Arabidopsis thaliana: one gene and its partner. The protein of the gene in region 1 interacts with the protein of each later gene in a pairwise test. Each region holds a gene or a part of one and is shown on either strand. Other genes may lie near its edges.

The links. Proteins that work in one complex are often made in the same cells at the same time.
Region 2: the proteins of SLK2 (region 1) and AT3G58630 interact in a two-hybrid assay, tested with the Arabidopsis thaliana proteins (one large-scale study listed by BioGRID).

Annotation. Positions count from the first base shown.
Region 1 is NC_003076.8:24,932,865-24,943,251, forward strand, and holds SLK2 (SEUSS-like 2), read right to left. Parts: upstream 6,376-10,387; 5' UTR 6,056-6,375; exon of another isoform or gene 5,759-6,055; 5' UTR 5,677-5,758; coding exon 4,753-5,676; intron 4,658-4,752; coding exon 4,526-4,657; intron 4,415-4,525; coding exon 4,366-4,414; intron 4,260-4,365; coding exon 4,045-4,259; intron 3,959-4,044; coding exon 3,890-3,958; intron 3,799-3,889; coding exon 3,698-3,798; intron 3,509-3,697; coding exon 3,415-3,508; intron 3,332-3,414; coding exon 3,262-3,331; intron 3,154-3,261; coding exon 2,357-3,153; 3' UTR 2,098-2,356; downstream 1-2,097. Other genes in the region: AT5G62080 (Bifunctional inhibitor/lipid-transfer protein/seed storage 2S albumin superfamily protein), read right to left, coding at 934-947, 1,263-1,536; BAG2 (BCL-2-associated athanogene 2), read left to right, coding at 7,613-7,793, 7,897-8,153, 8,249-8,395, 8,606-8,911; AT5G62110 (Homeodomain-like superfamily protein), read right to left, coding at 9,475-9,531, 10,052-10,168, 10,362-10,387. UniProt on the Arabidopsis thaliana protein: Probable transcription regulator that functions in the development of the carpel margin meristem similarly to SEUSS (SEU).
Region 2 is NC_003074.8:21,681,013-21,688,531, reverse strand, and holds AT3G58630 (sequence-specific DNA binding transcription factor), read left to right. Parts: upstream 1-2,492; 5' UTR 2,493-2,760; coding exon 2,761-3,685; coding exon of another isoform or gene 3,686-3,696; exon of another isoform or gene 3,697-4,563; coding exon 4,564-4,604; 3' UTR 4,605-4,606; intron 4,607-4,710; 3' UTR 4,711-5,002; downstream 5,003-7,519. Other genes in the region: AT3G58640 (Mitogen activated protein kinase kinase kinase-like protein), read left to right, coding at 69-192, 300-319, 410-566, 758-1,046, 1,125-1,197, 1,297-1,379; TTL4 (tetratricopetide-repeat thioredoxin-like 4), read right to left, coding at 5,573-5,725, 5,810-5,916, 6,002-6,203, 6,279-6,615, 6,719-6,900, 6,998-7,193, 7,264-7,519.

The sequences.
Region 1 (10,387 bases):
TTTGAATTATGTAGAAAACGTATGAAAAATAAATAATGAAGAAAAGAGAATAATTGGGAGGACGTGTCATTCTTTGAAGCCCATAATTTCACTGCAGTCTAGTGTCTGTGACTTCTGCAATTTGGCAGCTTTTTTCTTTGCTTCAATCCAATACAATGACTGCAAACTTTACAAATGTGTATGGAATATGTTTTTGAAATCAGAAATATATTTTGTGTGGATGATAGGTGTTTATCTTTTATCCAGGCCATACAAATGTTACATAGGTTGTTATTCTGGTGGCACAATTCAAATTCTTCTTGTACTTCAAATTCTATAAAGAGAAGTTGTTAATCACTAGCTAGATTAACCCCTCGATTTTGAAAGGTGTTGTTTTCTTCGTTTATTCATCTATCTATTTGTTTAGTTATCTATATTTTACTGTTCAGTAGGATGCAGTTTAGAAGTAAGTCTACGAAAAAGGAAAACAAATAGGGAACATTCGAAAATAAAGACTAGCTGTGATAACGATCGTCTATAACCACTAATAAATACTATCCTCCTCAAGTCGTATTCAGCAACAAGCACTAGAGGGGTCAGGTGCAATTTTTAGACTTTCTAGCTTTTAAACAAACATTGTTAGCTTGGCAACAATGAAAACTAACATGATTTTCCATGCATATTAAACAAGTCACTAATCTAATTTATTTCTGATGTCTAGACTTACGTACGTACATGTTTAAGAATAATTTGGTTTCAGACCGGGAATGTTTTATTCTCATAATTATCAAAGCTTTTTATTATACTAGTAGTATCTAAATTTCTAAGCAAAACTACTAGAACTTTATTATAGTAAAGCAGAAGTTAGAAGAAAAAACATAAGACTGGAATATTTCTCATTATTCTTTATTTTCCCGTTTTCCTTGATCATCTTGGAATTGACTCGTAGCTTAACTAAGCATTTATACCTGCACAACCCAAAAACAAAACAAACAAAAAAACAAAAAAACCTCAGAAACAGATATGAAATAGAGGTCTATATATCATTAAATAAACACATTACTACATTAGCCGAGTTAGCTAGAGCTGATATATGAGGTTTTATCCTACTTAATCTACTTGGAATCTTAGGCCAAGTCTTTTTGGTTTGGCCATATATTAGGCCAAGTCTAAAATGTTGGTAACTAAAACTAAATATATATTGAGATTTGTTTTATTCATCCTCATCTTGGGATAACGAGCCAAATATCAAACTTCTTGGTTAAAAGTAAATAAATCCGTACCACAATCCACAGGAGGAAGGTTACAAAGCGAAGGAAGAGAGGTGGCTGCACGGAGAGCGTTGCATAGACAATCTCTATTAGTAGATTGAAGTGCGGCGCAACACTCTGAATTTGGTCTGCCTGAACCGGGCAGCACCATGGCGGCGCATACCTGCACATTTGCTAGATCGTTGCCACATTCTTGGGCTTGAACTACCGTTTCTATAGCAGTCATGGCAAGAAAAAGGACACTGAGAACGGCTGCGAAAGACTTGAACGATGCCATTATTGCCATGGATAAGTTTGTTTCTATAGATATCTGATGTAGTTCTATGTATATGATATCATATGTTTAGATTTATCATTTATATAATGTTTTGAGTGTATATTTTGAGTGATTAATTAGATGAGTTGAGGAGACGTTTGGCATGGTCACATGGTCTAGTTAGTTCACAAGATTTACATGTGAAAGTAAATCACTCTGTTCTCTATCCACCACGCTGAGTGCAAGGTTTTTTTATTTATTTATTTTATTCTTTAGTGCAAAGCAAAAATATTTCATATACAAAATTATGTAATATATGAAATTAACTATGGTAAAAGGAGTTGACAAATTATCTCTTGTAGATAGTAGGATGGTTGGTATATTGAAGATGAAAAGTATTACTGTATTAGTGCAAGTAGATGAAGATTACATATCCGTATTTGTGGAATTTTGTATGATTTAAAATCACGTCACAAATACATTTTATTAAAATTTCAGAGAAAAAAATAGCATGTGTCTGGCTTGTTTGTGACGTGTTACCGATGTTTGTAACTGTATCAGCTTTAAATAAACGAGGCTTAAAAAAAGTCATAAGAAAAAAGGTAAAATATTGATTGATAGCGATGAGTTCCTGAAGAACAGTCTTTTTTCTTTTCCAGAATTAGTAACACTTTCCAGAAAAACCTCTTCATAAAAAGAGAAGCTTTAATCTAAGAAGAAGAAAGAACAACAACACAGTAGACACGTTAACATTGAATCCCCCTCATCAGATTCATATACCTAAGAAAGTTAGTCTTTAGTAACTCGTTCTTTACAAAGACAACATTGGAGCTAACTATCAAAATGCCTCTCATGACTTCCAAGAATATCCTCCCATGCTTTCATCAACCTCATTGCTAAAAACCCCGTTATTCCCAAAGTTGAGCGATGTATTAGAGATAATACCTTCCAGGTTTTGGCTTTGGTCTAACCCCTTGATGCCTCTGAATCTGTTGGAGGTGCTTGGTGTTTCAGCTGCTGCGGGAACATAATCTGTTCTGTTTCTTCCCATGTTGGTATTGCAATTCATCATGTTCTGACCAGAAAGTGACTGTTGTTGTTGACCGGAGCCTCCATTGCTGTTTGCCATCTGTTGCCATATTTGATGAATCATTTGTTGTTCCAATGTTTGGTTACCGCTACTACAGGAAGGTGGCTGTTGGTGGTATTGCTGGGTTGAGCCATTATAACTGGAGCTTGGCATTTGCCGCTGAGGAGATAGATGGGAAGATACACCACTTATTGATGGGCTATGCACAAAACCAGGTAACAAGGGACTAGTTCCTTGATAGCTCGGGGATGCACTCCGGTTTCTTGATGGTTCTTGCTGGATTGTGGTGTTGTTTAGGTCTGAATTCAGATGGTTTTGTTTCATGAGCATGCTCTGGTAGTTGGTAAGCGCAAAAGCGGCAGCTTGTGCAGAGCCGGGAAGAGATCCTTGACCGCTCATGTTGTTCATTGGTATGTTTATCCCGGAATTGCGCAAGGCCATTAGCTTGTTGAGACTGTTCCTATCAGGTGGAAGCCCTCGGGCAGCCGCTAGTTGCTCCATCTCCTGCATCTGAGGTTTACCAGCCTTCATTCGATATGGATAGCTCTTCAAAGCCTCTGCAAATGTTAAAAGGTAGCAAGAAAGCTTTTTATAAGCACAGCCAAGTAAAAAAAAAGCGTTTTGATGAATCTCAGGGACTCTCTGGGATTTATGTATTAACTTACCGATTGGACCCACTTTTTGGTCACGGCAAAAGTCAATCATATCTTTCATGCTGCTGACAACCTCAGAAATCTGTTTAAAGAAGATGGCAAGAGTTAAACAGTAAAAAGGAGACACGCCACCAGGAAAATGCAAGAAAGTAGGCAGAGAGATACCTGCAGACACCGAACATATCGTTTTGAGAAGCCTAAGTCATTGAGTGAATGTGACTCCAAGCTTTTTGCTAGTTGACGTCCAGCAGCCATGACCCTGGAGCAAAAGACTTGGCATCAGTACATCATATTTGTATATATTAAGCTAAAATCGCTTTGATCTTCTTTGCATCAGTGAAAAATCTTACCTAATTACCGTACAAGATGCAAGAAACAATGAAATTGAATTGATTGAGAAATATGGAAGAAAGAGAGTGAAATATTGTCTAGAATCATCAAGACTCACATGTTGCTATTAGCTTGCAAATCTTGTTGATGAATCCCATCTGATCCACTTTGATCAATTGTGCTCTGACATTTCTCTGCAACCTGAAGCAATTGGTTCACCTGCACGACCATAGGGAGCAGACATTCAAAAAATCTCAAGACCAGGGATTTCAAAAAGAGTCACAAAGATTGTAAGAACCATTAATGTTACCTGTGGAGCTACTAGGCGACGAGGAAGTAGTTCTTCATGTCGACGAGTACAGAACTCCCATGAGAGAATCTGGCAAAAGGAAAAAGGATAAGCTAAGTTACTTTAATACACATTAATGATTAAAAGTATTTGGAATCAAAAGCTCTTTAAACCACCTTCAGCTCTTGGGAGAATATAATCCGAAGATGGCCTTCGCGAACAACACGGATATGTTCGTACACACTCTCCTGAACTGCTTTTCCATACTCTAACACCATAATTCCAGATCCATATCTGCGTTCAGACGGTACACCCAGATAAAGAAGCTCGTCCAGGACACCACTTGCGAATTTGATTTCGTTAAGCCTTGGCAAGACATCAAAAGTTGCTTCTGCAGAATCCATAAGAAAAAGTTACTAAGAGAAGATGTTTTGCTACCATAAACATTTTTGAAATTTCCCTCTTCTTCATCAGGGTATAAGCAAATTGGAACTTACCAAATCCTCTTCCCGATTTAGAACCACATAGATCACACTGCCATTCATCCTGCAAATGGAAAATACAAAAAGCAAGAATAAGTAACCTATTTGTAACTACACCGTAAGATCAGCATAAAGAGTATGAAACCAAAAAAAACAAAGAGTCAGGGAAACAAACCGTGGCTGCCTGAGGAGAAACACCAAGTGCACTATGCCCCACATTATCATAATGAGAAAGACACCATCTTTTCTTTGCCCGGGGAGAAAAATACTCCGTCACAAATTTCCTCCAGTAAACAATACTGCTCTCCTACAAAATCAGCAATGACACGACTGGTATCTGTCAAGAGCTTTTTTCTAGAATACACATAAAACAAAAAATTTGACGACTACATGCACACTCACAGAAGGCCTTTGTCGCTGATGATATAGGTACTGCATCAATCTTCGAGCGCAAACGCTATTTTCATAAGGTCTTGGCCCACCGGTTAGTTGCATTTGCATTCCTTGTTGTTGCAACTGTTGCTGTTGCTGTTGGTGCTGCTGCTGCAACTGTTGCTGTTGCTGCACTTGTTGCTGCTGCTGCAGTTGAACCCGTTGCAATGGTGGGAGGGACTGGAGATATTGTTGCTGTTGCCTCAGCTTTTGTTGCTGAAGCAAGATTTGGAACTGTGGATTTTGGCCTTGTTGTTGTTGTTGCTGCTGCTGCTGCAATATATCCTGTCTCTGAAGCCACTGACGTAAAATCTGCTGCTGCAAAGCATCATCCTGCTTTGAATCTAATCTAGGTTTTTTCCGTGCTTGAGTTAAGTTGTTTGGATCCTGAAAGAACGATTCAGAAGCACGCCGAGCCATAGAAAGCGGGATTTGATTAGTTTGTGATGTAGGCAGTGATGTAGCACTAGAGCCACCTAGCTGAACACTAGGATCATGCCGTTGTACCACAGTCGACCCATCTACAACTGATGAACCAGATATGCTGATATTATTAGAAGAGAACGACATAGGAGACGCCGGTAAACGCATATATGACTCATTATTGATACTAGCACTACGCTGCAAATGAGGACCACCTCCAGAGAGCCCTGAATTAGCATCTGTGACAAGCGAACTAGCTCCTGCGCTTGGACCGGGTGTTGAAACACTCATCATAACCGGATTATGCATATCACCAGAAACCATACTGAGATTGTGATAGCCACCAGTAGGTCCACCACATCCAGGAGCAGAGTTAGATGAATTCCCATAAGAGGAAGTCAAGTGAGAGTTAATGAAGCTTTGAGATTCATCATCTCCTTGAAAGAAAATCCCAGAAGTTGAAGAAGCCATTAAAGGGTAGGTCCCAAGTGAGTCTGAAATCCAAAGTTTCTTCCTCAATGCGACACAAATGTCCCACCTTTACTACTGATACCTACAACATTATACATGTATCGATTAAAATCAGATCAATAACATTCCCTAACACATGAATCTGGTGCGTTATTAAAGATACACAGACATTGAACTTAACCACTGAAATAAAAAAAAAACCAAATCAAAACCCTAATTTTAAAGTTCGTTACTTAACATAACTAACCGAGAAACTAACCAATCCCCAAAAAAAAAAAAAATAGATAGCAATCCCTTAAAAATCTCGGAGTTAGATATTTAAAAAGCAACCGAAATTAAATTACAAAATAAAAAAGCGAAGAACACGGAAACAACGTACGAAGAACTGTTAAGTGGAGCTTCGATCAATATAGAACAAAAGCTGAGAGATCACAACTAGAAATTAAAACTAAACCCAGCTGAATTGAAACAGAAGAAGAGGAAGATAATTAATGAGACAAGAAGAAGAAGAAGAAGAAGGAAAAAAATTTGCCTGGAAATTTCAAGCTGTAATATAAAGTTAAAATAAACAATCTTCTTATTTATTTTGTGTTTGTTGTTTTTGCATAAAAAAAAGGAAAATCCTGGAGAGAGCTGGAACTAGGCAATGAACTTGACGCGCCTTTGTTAATATACCTAGAGGAAATCGTAAGAACCAAATCTGACCGGACAAGCCGGTGACCCATCTGCTTATGGTTTTGCAAGTACTTTTTATTACCCGCTAGTCAATACTGACACGTGTCTTGTTTATCGTAACAAGTATCGTATGACCGATTGGTAACCTTTAGCTGTTTTGATTGCGTGGCATATTCTTGACCTTGCGATCAATAAAGTTAAATCAATTGTGGATCGTTCGATTGAGAGCATGGATCGTGTGCGACGCGTGTAGTTTAAAGTTGATTGACCAAATTATGTTTTTTATTTTATTTTTTTGTAATAACTGTACCAATGATTGCAGCTGTAAATGAGTGGGCTTACGACAAATATCCTCTTTTTTGCATGATTACTTATTGACCCCAATATTACTCCCTTTGACAATTCAACCCCTAAAATATTTCGACAAGATCATCCAACTATATGGAGCTACGACCCAACAGGCCTATTTCAGTATTTTTAGGCCCATTATTAGCCCATAAATAATTATACTCTGTTCTCCAACCGTTCAAAGCTCTGTTCTCGAACAGTCTTGAGGTCAAACCTAACCGGTGTCTCTGTCTCTAAAGCACTAGCTTGTTCAAGAAATGATCAAAGAAAGCTCGTGTGTGGTCCGTACGGTCCATGGATCATTCAAAACTTGGCAAGAAGACACACAACACCGACGATAATTCTAGACAATGTGGATCTGCAAGAAAGAGAGATTTTTAAGTTGCAGAGTTTGTCGGAGTTAAAGGCGTGACGTGTAACACAAGTTTCTGTTTCAGTTATTTCATTAGCTTACCTGTACTTAGAAACGTAGAACACGACTTATAAAATACAGAAGAACGATGACAAATAAATATAAATGTAACAACGACATTAATATATCGTCATTATTTATCAGAAATAGAAATAAATATGTGGGGGATACAACATTTATATTAAATATATGTATCTGTGATGGACTGATAATGAGACATAACAACAATCACATTAGCTGTCACTCTTTTCTTTAACTTTTTTTTCTCATTGTATAAAATTTTATAAAACAATAATCTGCTTTATATGATTCTTATCTTTCTTCTTCTTCCACGAGTTCTGTCCAGAAACAGAAACATTAATTTATTACAAAACAAAGTGTATTTACTTCTCTTTGCTCAGACGTTTCTTTTTTCTTCTTCTTCTTCTTGATCTTTTTCAGAAATCAACTTCATCTCATCATTCCTCTGTTTTTTTCTCTCTATCTCTCTTAATAAAGAAAATGATGAAAATGAGTATCGGAACAACAACTTCCGGCGACGGTGAAATGGAGCTCCGACCTGGAGGAATGGTTGTACAGAAAAGGACGGATCATAGCTCAAGCGTGCCACGTGGCATTCGGGTTCGGGTCAAATACGGGTCGGTCCATCACGAGATCAGTATCAACTCTCAATCTACTTTCGGTAAACGACACAAAACATTCCGAGTTATACAGTATTTCCTTTATACTATTAGTATGCTCTGTTTTTGGAATTTGATTGTTGTTGTTGTTGAATTTAACAACAGGGGAATTAAAGAAGATATTGTCTGGTGCGACAGGAGTTCATCATCAAGACATGCAGATTATATACAAAGACAAAGAAAGAGACTCAAAGATGTTTCTTGATCTTTCTGGTGTCAAAGATCGTTCGAAACTTATTCTTATAGAAGATCCCATTTCTCAGGAGAAACGTCTCCTTGAGTTGAGGAAAATCGCCACCAAAGAGAAATCATCTAAAGCAATCTCTGATATTAGTTTCCAAGTCGAAAGACTCGCCGGACAAGTAACTTAAGAAACATAATTTTAAATTTTCCGGATAACAACGCTCTTGTCTCGTAACTTGAATCAGAATTGTTTTTTTTGGTTTTTGGACTTTAGCTGTCGGCGTTTGATACAGTGATTGGTAAAGGAGGGAAAGTTGAAGAGAAGAATCTTGAGAATTTGATGGAGATGTTGATGAATCAATTGGTCAAGCTCGATGCCATCTCAGGTGATGGAGACGTTAAATTGAAGAAGAAGATGCAGGTACTTAAATCATGTTTTATTACTCACTGTTACTAATCTAATTCTTCATTTTACTTAGAATTCTAGATGACACAACTCTATTAATTTTTATTCATAAATTTGCAGAATTATGGAACCATTCTATAAGTAATTACCAATCATACCCATAAAGTCTTGTTATTCAAGTTTTTGAAGTCGCTTTGACAATTATTATTTTTTATGTATAGTTAGAATCTAATGATTCGATTTACAAATTGTTGGAAGGAGGAAAGATTACACAAGTATGTTGAGGCTCTCGACTTGTTGAAGATCAAGAACTCAAGGCAACCGCAAACGAAACCAAAGCCGCAATACAAGGAACGGGAAATGCTGACATTTTACGAGGAGGCGTCAAGGAAACCGACGGCCTCCTCATCAAGTCCTCCGGTGATCATAACAACAAGATGGGAAACGTTTGATTCTAGTTCAGCCTCCACGGCAACCCTACAACCCGTTAGACCGGTTCACCCAAAATTTAAATGGGAATTATTCAATTAATATCTAGATATTAATTACACGATAATATAATATACTATACTTAGTTTTCAGATTTATTGTAAGGTGTAACATATGTGATTATTTTTGTCTAGTTGTATATGATTTGTGATTGGTCGTTTATGTTACATTATCAAATTTTGTTGTTGTGATATACTAAAAACAATGTAGTATTTACTATTTAAAAGAAAATATGTGGATTAAAAAAAGTATGCGAGTAGATGGCAAAAGGGAGAGAACGAAGGTTTTGAAATGATTAAAATAAACTGTTAAGAGTTGTAGCATTTTATTTTAAATATAAAAATAAAATTTGGTTTACGATTCCAAACATATATCTACAAATGCAATCATTCAATCAGTGATATGCATGTAAACATCTACGAAATTCACAAATTACTTAAATAGCATCCAAATTGAATATGAGTCATGATGACAAAAACAACGTCAAAAATTGAAAACAATCTTAAACCAAAACAACATCCAAATTTTAAATAAAATCTTAAACAACATAACAAAGTTATCAAATATTAATCTGATACTTTCAAAAGCAAAATTAAAAGATTTTCTTAAAACATGTCGTCAACATCCAGCATAAAGTTCATGAGGCCATCATCCTTCCAATCCTGTATCAGAAAACATAAACTAGTAAATGAATTTGCTATAAGAAATTAGATCTAGTACACACGTGACATTTCATAGACTACAAATACTATTAGACTCTTTATATTTCTATAATTGATATAAAAATGAAAATATGGCATCGGTGTATCATTATAGTTTTTTTTCTCAAAAAGTAAGAATTTTCTAGGATTCAATAAATTTTGATGAGAACTATAACCAAAATTAACTTTATTAAAGTAGAATTGTAAAAGTTTAAATACATCATCAAATGGCAATGAAACATCTATCAAATCTGCACCACATTGTTCCTCCTATGCAATTAATATTCAAACATCAATTATTTGCTATATCATTGTATATATATCAAACCAATTTCGATAAATTACGTAGACTTCAATAAAACCATATTTTTTATATCAATCGTTTGTAAGTATATTTCAAAACTCAAAATTACGTAGACTTCAATAAAACTAGAATACAACTTATAACTAAAATTATTATTGTAAAAATTTAAAAGATTACCTGATCAAATGTCAATGGAACATCAGTCAAATCTGTAACACCTTGTTCAGGAACATCAGTCAAAATCTCAACATCTTGTTCTGGAATATCAGTCAAAGCTGCAACATCTTCTTCCTCCTATTCAACCAATGTTCAAATATCAATTATGTGTCATATCTATATTGTACACAAAATTGGTTTAATGTATATATATGTATGATTATATTATTTCTTTCAAAAATTATGTATAATCCAATAAAATTCAAAAATTAATTATAAGAAAAAATTAATTTTCCTAAAATAGGATTGTGAAAGTTGAAAAGCCTTTTACCTCATCAAATGTAATTACAATATCCA
Region 2 (7,519 bases), on another chromosome or scaffold:
CAAAAGTTTACTTTTTTTTTTTGAATTAGTAACCCATCTAAATCTTCTTCGTTGATTTTTCCTTCCAGGATTTTTCGGAGAAGTATTCCGTGGGATCTGGAACGGGACAGACGTTGCTATCAAAGTGTTCCTTGAGCAAGACCTTACAGCTGAGAACATGGAGGATTTCTGCAATGAGATATCAATTCTTAGGTATGTCTATAGGCTTTCTCTGTTTTATTCAAAATTGGCAATAACGTCTTTACTTGTCTTCTGACTTTCTTTCCTGCCTTCTCCTTCTGCGTCCAAATAACCACTAGCCGACTTAGACATCCCAATGGTACTAAACTACTCATCTATCTCTATGAATTTTCACTGTGAGATTTTAGTATATGTTTTCATCAATGCATGCATCTTCGACTTCTTGTAGTTATACTGTTCCTTGGAGCATGCACAAAGCCTCCACGATTATCACTGATCACTGAGTACATGGAAATGGGATCTTTGTATTACTTGCTCCACTTGAGTGGACAAAAAAAGAGGTTAAGCTGGCGGAGGAAGCTAAAGATGCTGCGGGACATTTGCAGGTAATTTCATCTTCCATACAAAACCGTGTATCCTTCTTTCCAACATAGTATGTAGTATTAATATGGAAAATTTTGGTTTGAGGAGAAGGCAATAACACTTCCAAATAGGACCTGGAATTGTGTCTCGATGAGAAAGTTTCGTAATCATCTTTAATTAACAAACAGCGTTTAAACTTGTAAAATGTTGCTAGGGGATTGATGTGTATACACCGGATGGGGATAGTACACCGTGATATAAAGAGTGCAAACTGTCTTTTGAGCAACAAATGGACAGTCAAGATCTGTGATTTTGGGCTGTCGAGAATAATGACAGGGACAACAATGAGAGACACAGTCTCTGCAGGAACTCCAGAGTGGATGGCTCCTGAACTTATCCGCAATGAGCCCTTCTCAGAAAAGTGTGATATCTTCAGTTTAGGTGTAATAATGTGGGAGCTATGCACTTTAACCAGACCTTGGGAAGGAGTACCGCCTGAACGGGTAACTTAACTGAACAAGAAGAAGACTCTTTAGTGACATATGTGTATATATAACAAGTTTCCTCATATTTCTTCTCAGGTTGTTTATGCTATTGCTTACGAGGGAGCTCGGCTTGAGATTCCTGAAGGACCACTGGGAAAGCTTATTGCAGGTCTTGTGACTTGTCAAAGTGTTGTTATTTCGTTTTTCCTGAAGCTTTGTTTGGGGTTTATGGAGTATCCTTTTCTGATGTGTTGTCTCTTGTTCGCAGATTGTTGGACAGAACCGGAACAAAGACCGAGTTGCAATGAGATACTCTCTCGTTTGCTGGATTGTGAGTATTCGCTTTGCTAACTTTCTCTCAATCATATTTTCCTTCTGTGAATATAAAACTTTGCAGCGAGAGAGGTTTTTGTTTTCTTCGTTTCTTTTTTTTGAATATTGTTGGCTTTCTCCTTTGAGTTTGTACAAAAGAACTTTGGCGCTTTCACATCCACAAAAAGCTTTGTGGAACTCTTTTCCGTTTAATCATTTGCAAATTCGTAAATTTCAAAACCTCTGAAACAAAAAAGTAAGTCTTATAAATTTTACAAAAGGTGAGAAGAGTTGCTCATTCTTTCAGTTTAAATGATCAAGCTTGCTACTCTTTTTCGTACCATAAGGTTTGTTCCCTGCTTTGCATTTGCTATAAGAAAATTACGGACAAATACATGTACTTTTCGTTTATATTTCGTGCCTTAAGAAATGAAAAGGAGCTTTGATTGACAAAGAAAAAAGAGCAAACTACAGTTTTTGCAGAACTTCTAGTTATTTAAAGAAAAAACGATTTTATGTTCGTAGCCGTAATTTGTCATTACCTATTTGACAACAACATACATTCTAGTACCGAGTTTAAATTCGGTGATATAACAACGATACTAGTAGTTCGCGTTACCCATTTAGCTTATCACCTAAACACACAAAACTTAGAATAACTTATTCTAATATAGCAATGTGTCATTAACTTACAAAAATAGATCGTTTGATCATATTCTACTTGGCAGTACTATCATTACATTTTACGGAAACTAAACCAAACATCTAACGAGCCATATCCGATTTTTTAATTAGCTTTGATTTTTCTCTACAATCTACAGTTTCAGAAATTTCACCATGCTATAAATTTGTCAATTACATACTATTTAGGATGTGATACCAATTCATTTGGAACCGTTATCATATTCTAATTAAGTTAGACAACAAAAAAAAAGGAAAATATCAACCAAAACTTACATATTATATTACCAACGATTCACCCAAAAAAAAAATATATTACCAACGATTCATAATGAAATTTAATTAGAACTACCACACATAATATTACTAATTAACTTTAGACTTATCAAATTGCATATTAAAATGAATATTTAAAGCTTTTGTAAGAAAAAAAAATATAGAGAAATATTATCTTGTTCGGTAGTCAACATTAACAAAATAAAATAAAAATTAAAACGTTTTAGCTGTTAAAAAATAAAAACCAAATTAACGATGTATATAAATTAGCTAGAGCTGGCTCGTTTAGTCTGGCTCACGGTTTAGTACATGCACACAAAGCAAAAACGCTGGTTTGTCTTTTTAAAAAAAAAGAACTTCGTTTCTCTTCAATTCCGTTACCGTCACTGTCACCGTTCACCTCCGTTTATCTCATCCTCACCGTTCATCTTCTTCGATCTAACTCGCCGTCGTTCACCTTATAATGGACACCGTCAACGATTCCTTTTCGCCGGGATCTTCCCGACCTTCGCCGGCGACGCTTTCTCGTGAAGATTGCTGGAGCGAGGAAGCGACCTTCACGCTCATCCAAGCCTGGGGTAATCGCTACGTCGACCTCAGCCGAGGTAATCTCCGTCAGAAACACTGGCAAGAGGTGGCTAACGCCGTTAACGACCGTCACTACAACACCGGTCGAAACGTTTCCGCCGCCAAATCGCAGCCGTATCGCACCGACGTTCAGTGTAAAAACCGGATCGATACTCTGAAGAAGAAGTACAAAGTCGAGAAGGCTAGGGTTTCGGAATCCAATCCCGGTGCCTACATCAGCCCTTGGCCTTTCTTCTCCGCTCTCGATGACCTTCTCCGGGAAAGCTTTCCGACGTCTAGTAATCCTGATTCAACTGATAACATCCCGCACCAGAGGCTATCACTTCCGATGTCCATTAATCCAGTTCCGGTCGCTCCACGATCGGCGATCCCCAGACGTCCGGCGACATCGCCGGCGATTATACCTCACGCCGGTGACGATTTACTCGGATTTCGCGGGAATCTCAACGCATTCGCGGCAGCCGCAGCGGCGGCGGCGTGTCCGGCGTCTGAAGATGACTCGGAAGGTTCAAGGTCTAGATCGAGCGGTCGTAGCGGGAGTAACAAGAAGCGGGAGAGGAAAATTGAGAAGAAGCAAGGCTACAAGGAAGTTGCCGACGCAATTGAGAGGCTTGGACAGATATACGAGAGAGTCGAGGAGAAGAAGAGGAAGGAAATGGTTGAATTGGAGAAGCAGAGAATGAGATTCGCTAAGGAATTGGAATGCCATAGGATGCAACTGTTCACGGAGATGCAGGTACGTCTTCATAAGCTCCGGCGTACCTCTGGCTCCAAAGGACCGACTTCCTCCGCCTCCGCCGGTGAGACCTGAATCCTTTCTCTCGCCGTATTTCGTAATCTGTTCAGAATTCTATGTCTTTCTCCATTGTTTAGCTGTGTAACAGTGACTATAGCATAAGAGTAGAAACAAATTTTACCTTTTTACTTGTGATAGTCTCTGTGCCAACGACGGCTATAATAAACCCAATCAAAGTACAAGAACAAATTGATATCGCACAGAGATGATGAATCTGAACAAAAATAAACTAATTAGTAGCAAGTATTGGTATTCATGGTAAGGAGGAGGTCCTGGTTACATTTTTCTCCTAGATGTTGTTGCTTTGTTACTTGTGTTTCTTGTAATTATAGTCTGAGTGTGGAAAGTTTTTCTACAATGACTGATGTGAGCATTAGTTGGGAAGCAGTTCATGAGCTAGAAACTTGAATCTGCTTCTGTTTGTTGTTAAGCATGAGTGCTTTGTGAAGTGTTTTGAGTGTGATGCCCAGTAAGTTTTGAGTGTAGAGTAGCCTTTTTGTTGGTTAGTTGATTGAGAAGATTGTGAGTTTACATGCTAACTGCTTCGAAAGTTAGGAAATAATGGGTATGGATGTTTGAAAAGAGAATGCATGATATGTGGAAGGATTTTTCGGATGCATCAACCATTAGTTTCTGACATATAGTCTCAGGAGACAAAATTTGATTTTTTTTTGGATGCATCAAATCTTTCCTGCAACTTGGCTATGGCATTACACGACAGACATTTGTTTCTTTCGTTTTCGCTTGGTCCATATTTCTTTACTTGTTAGTCACCTGCTAATTTGATGAATTCCTCTTTGCATTACATGTTTGACCACTAGAACAAATTATCAGCAGCAGGTCTATGTATGAATAATAAGTGAACTTTTTCTGTTTATGCAGCTCTTGATTATGGGATGATGGATTTCCCTAGTTACTTCTAGAGGTACGACTCCTTTATTTATATTTAAAACTCCCTAGTCGATCAAAACTTTGCCTATGTACAAAATGTGTAGACTTGTTGGGCTAAGTCGTTGGTTTTGTTTGCAGCATCATGAGTTTGTGATTGTAGCCATTTTGATGAAGATGAGAGAAAGTCAGCGTTCTTCCACCAACCAATAGAAGATATGGTAACAAAGAAACATGAGTTTCTCTTTGTTTTGTAAATTTTAACCCTTTTAGAAGATTCCGATTCCAACCCAGGATTGAAAAAAAAATTGGTGACGTTATATTGGTATATCTACACAATGAAACAGTACAAGAAACAGTTTTCAGCAAAATTATATTGGTTAGTATTGTTTGGTATTTCTTAGTTTGTGTTCTAATTTATGATTTAATGAGGTGGAAAATAAAAAAAAAATCTTCAGGGATATACCGCTATATCCTAGTAATTCATTATTTATCTATTACAAATCTCAAGTTCTCAACTCCATAACATGTTAAGTTTAAGAGACTTTAATATGAAATGTTAAGAACTTGAGATTCATAACCTTTGCCCAAAATGTGAGGCAAATCATTTTTGCTCTCATTGAGACTTTGTCATAGTTTGTGTTCTGTATTGGCGCCTCAAATTCCTTCTATGAAACTATAGTTTATTTGTCAATGGATATTTTATTGAAAGCAGTGTTATTACAAGTAACCCAGCCCACCAGGACCCATTTGTAATAAGTAAGAGTTTCTAAAACAAACAAAAATAAGAAAACCAAATGAACCATTAAATTGGGGCCTTTTTGCATGAACGATAATTGAGAAACATGCATTTTCCTCGGATTAATACAATCGGAGCAGGTTTCAATATGATAATACAGTAAAGCAAAACAAAAGAATGAAAATTTCAATTAACAAAATGGCTCTTTGAATCAATTTACGTTCGTGAAGACTAAAGATTTGAAAGAATGAGAAGAGAGATATGTTATAAGAGGAAATGCGTAACAGAGTCCTCTAGTAACTGATGACTAGGACATACCATTTCCTTCACTTTCTCTCCCTTCTTATAAATCTTAAACGTTGGAATTTTCTTGATGCTCTCTGCTTTCGCCAATGCCAAGCTCTCCTCTACGTCCACCTATAGACAAACAAACCCCGTTAAAGCGTTAGACCAAAAACGATAACCATTTTGCGCGATTGAGCATAAGAACAAGTGACTTGCCTTGAAAAAATGTACTAATGGATACCGTAAGCATAAAGTGTTGACGAATGGAGATATTGCTTCGCTTTGCCGGTTTGATGATGATTTGAAATGAAACACAGAGATTCCTGAAAAATATTTCCATTTTTTTTTGTTTAGCAAAGAGAGGAATCTTGAAACTAACACTTGCAAAGTGAGTTAGCTAGTTTATACCGGGCAGTGATGTTGCGGTCTTGAACTTATCTAAGGTCGAAACTTCTTCAACTTCGTTATTGAATCCCAAATATTTAGGTTCTTCGGATTTGTTCGATAGAGCGTTCCTTGCTCTCTGTAAAGACTCAGCAACCTCACTGTCTCCTGGAAGTTCCTTTCTCAATACTTCATAATCTCTGACCGCATCCTCCCATCGGCCAAGCTGCATTTAACATTTGTTAATCCAAATACTTAATTAGAAACTCGGTTCAAAACCATTCAGTGTCTTCAATCTAACCTTTCCATACGAAGCAGCTCTTCGGAGAAGAGCTTTGGTGTAACTAGGCTGAATTCTTAGCGCTTGATTACAATCATCAACAGATTTCTCCCACATACCGAGTTTAAACCAACATGCCGCTCTATTACAATACAAAACCGAATTGAAAGCATCCAACTTGAGTCCGTCCCCATAAGCCACACTCGCTTCCGAGTATCTCCCCGAACTAAAAAGCTCGTTTCCTCGGGTACGAGCTTTCGCCACATTCTTCACATTGTTTAAGACCGATACTACCTCGGGACTATTGCTATGATCAATCGTCATGGCTCTCTCCACCTTTACAATCGCATTCTCAAATCTGCAACAAACCTAACATCTCTACTCACTCACCCAAGAACCAAACAAGACTACTAATAAAGAATCAAAAACACCATTCGAAGTTTAAGCATTTCGAAGCTCACCTTCCTAACGCCATATCAACTTGAGCTTGAACACAGAGCACATAAGCATCACATACTATACCAAATAGTTTCTCAGGTGGTTGAGTATGGTGATGATCCAATCTCGGAATGCTGGATATACACAAATCTGAATCCTTTATCTGATGAAGCCGCAAAAAGGCTTCAGCTTTACAAGCTACAAGCTGCACAAGATCAAACCTCATTGTTTAAAAGATAAAGTCTTTTCGCTGATAATTCAACCACAAAAGAGGCAATCAATGCCACTTTTTGATCTCTAACCTGAGGAGAAGAATCAGCTCCATTTGCAATGGCTGCATCGATTTCGCTAATCACCGTTCTCCAATCACCGATCTTTCGAGCCTCCGTACACAGTCTGAGATGCTTCTCAAGCGTCTGCAACCTCTGCAAATCAGCTTGATCGGGACATTGTCCGGAAACACAAAGATGACGTCTCGCATTCTCAGCTTCTCCCAATCTAAAACCAAACCAATCAAATACTAATCCTTTTTCAATCAAAACTTTTTAAAGGATAGAATTTTTTTTACCTTAGATAAAGAGAAGCGAGTCTCTGATGAGCTCTAGCGTAAGAAGGATCACATCTCACAGCTTCAAGGCATTCTTTAACTGCTTCTTCTAACCTCCCTGACGCAGCCAACGCTGCCGCACGATTGCTTCTATAAGCTGGATTTTCCGGTGACAATGAGATAGCTCTGTCGTAAAGAGCCAATGCCTCGGCGTAATTCCCTTTCCTATACATTACGTTACCTGCCTTCTTCACCTCCTCTGAGTCACTCATTTCCG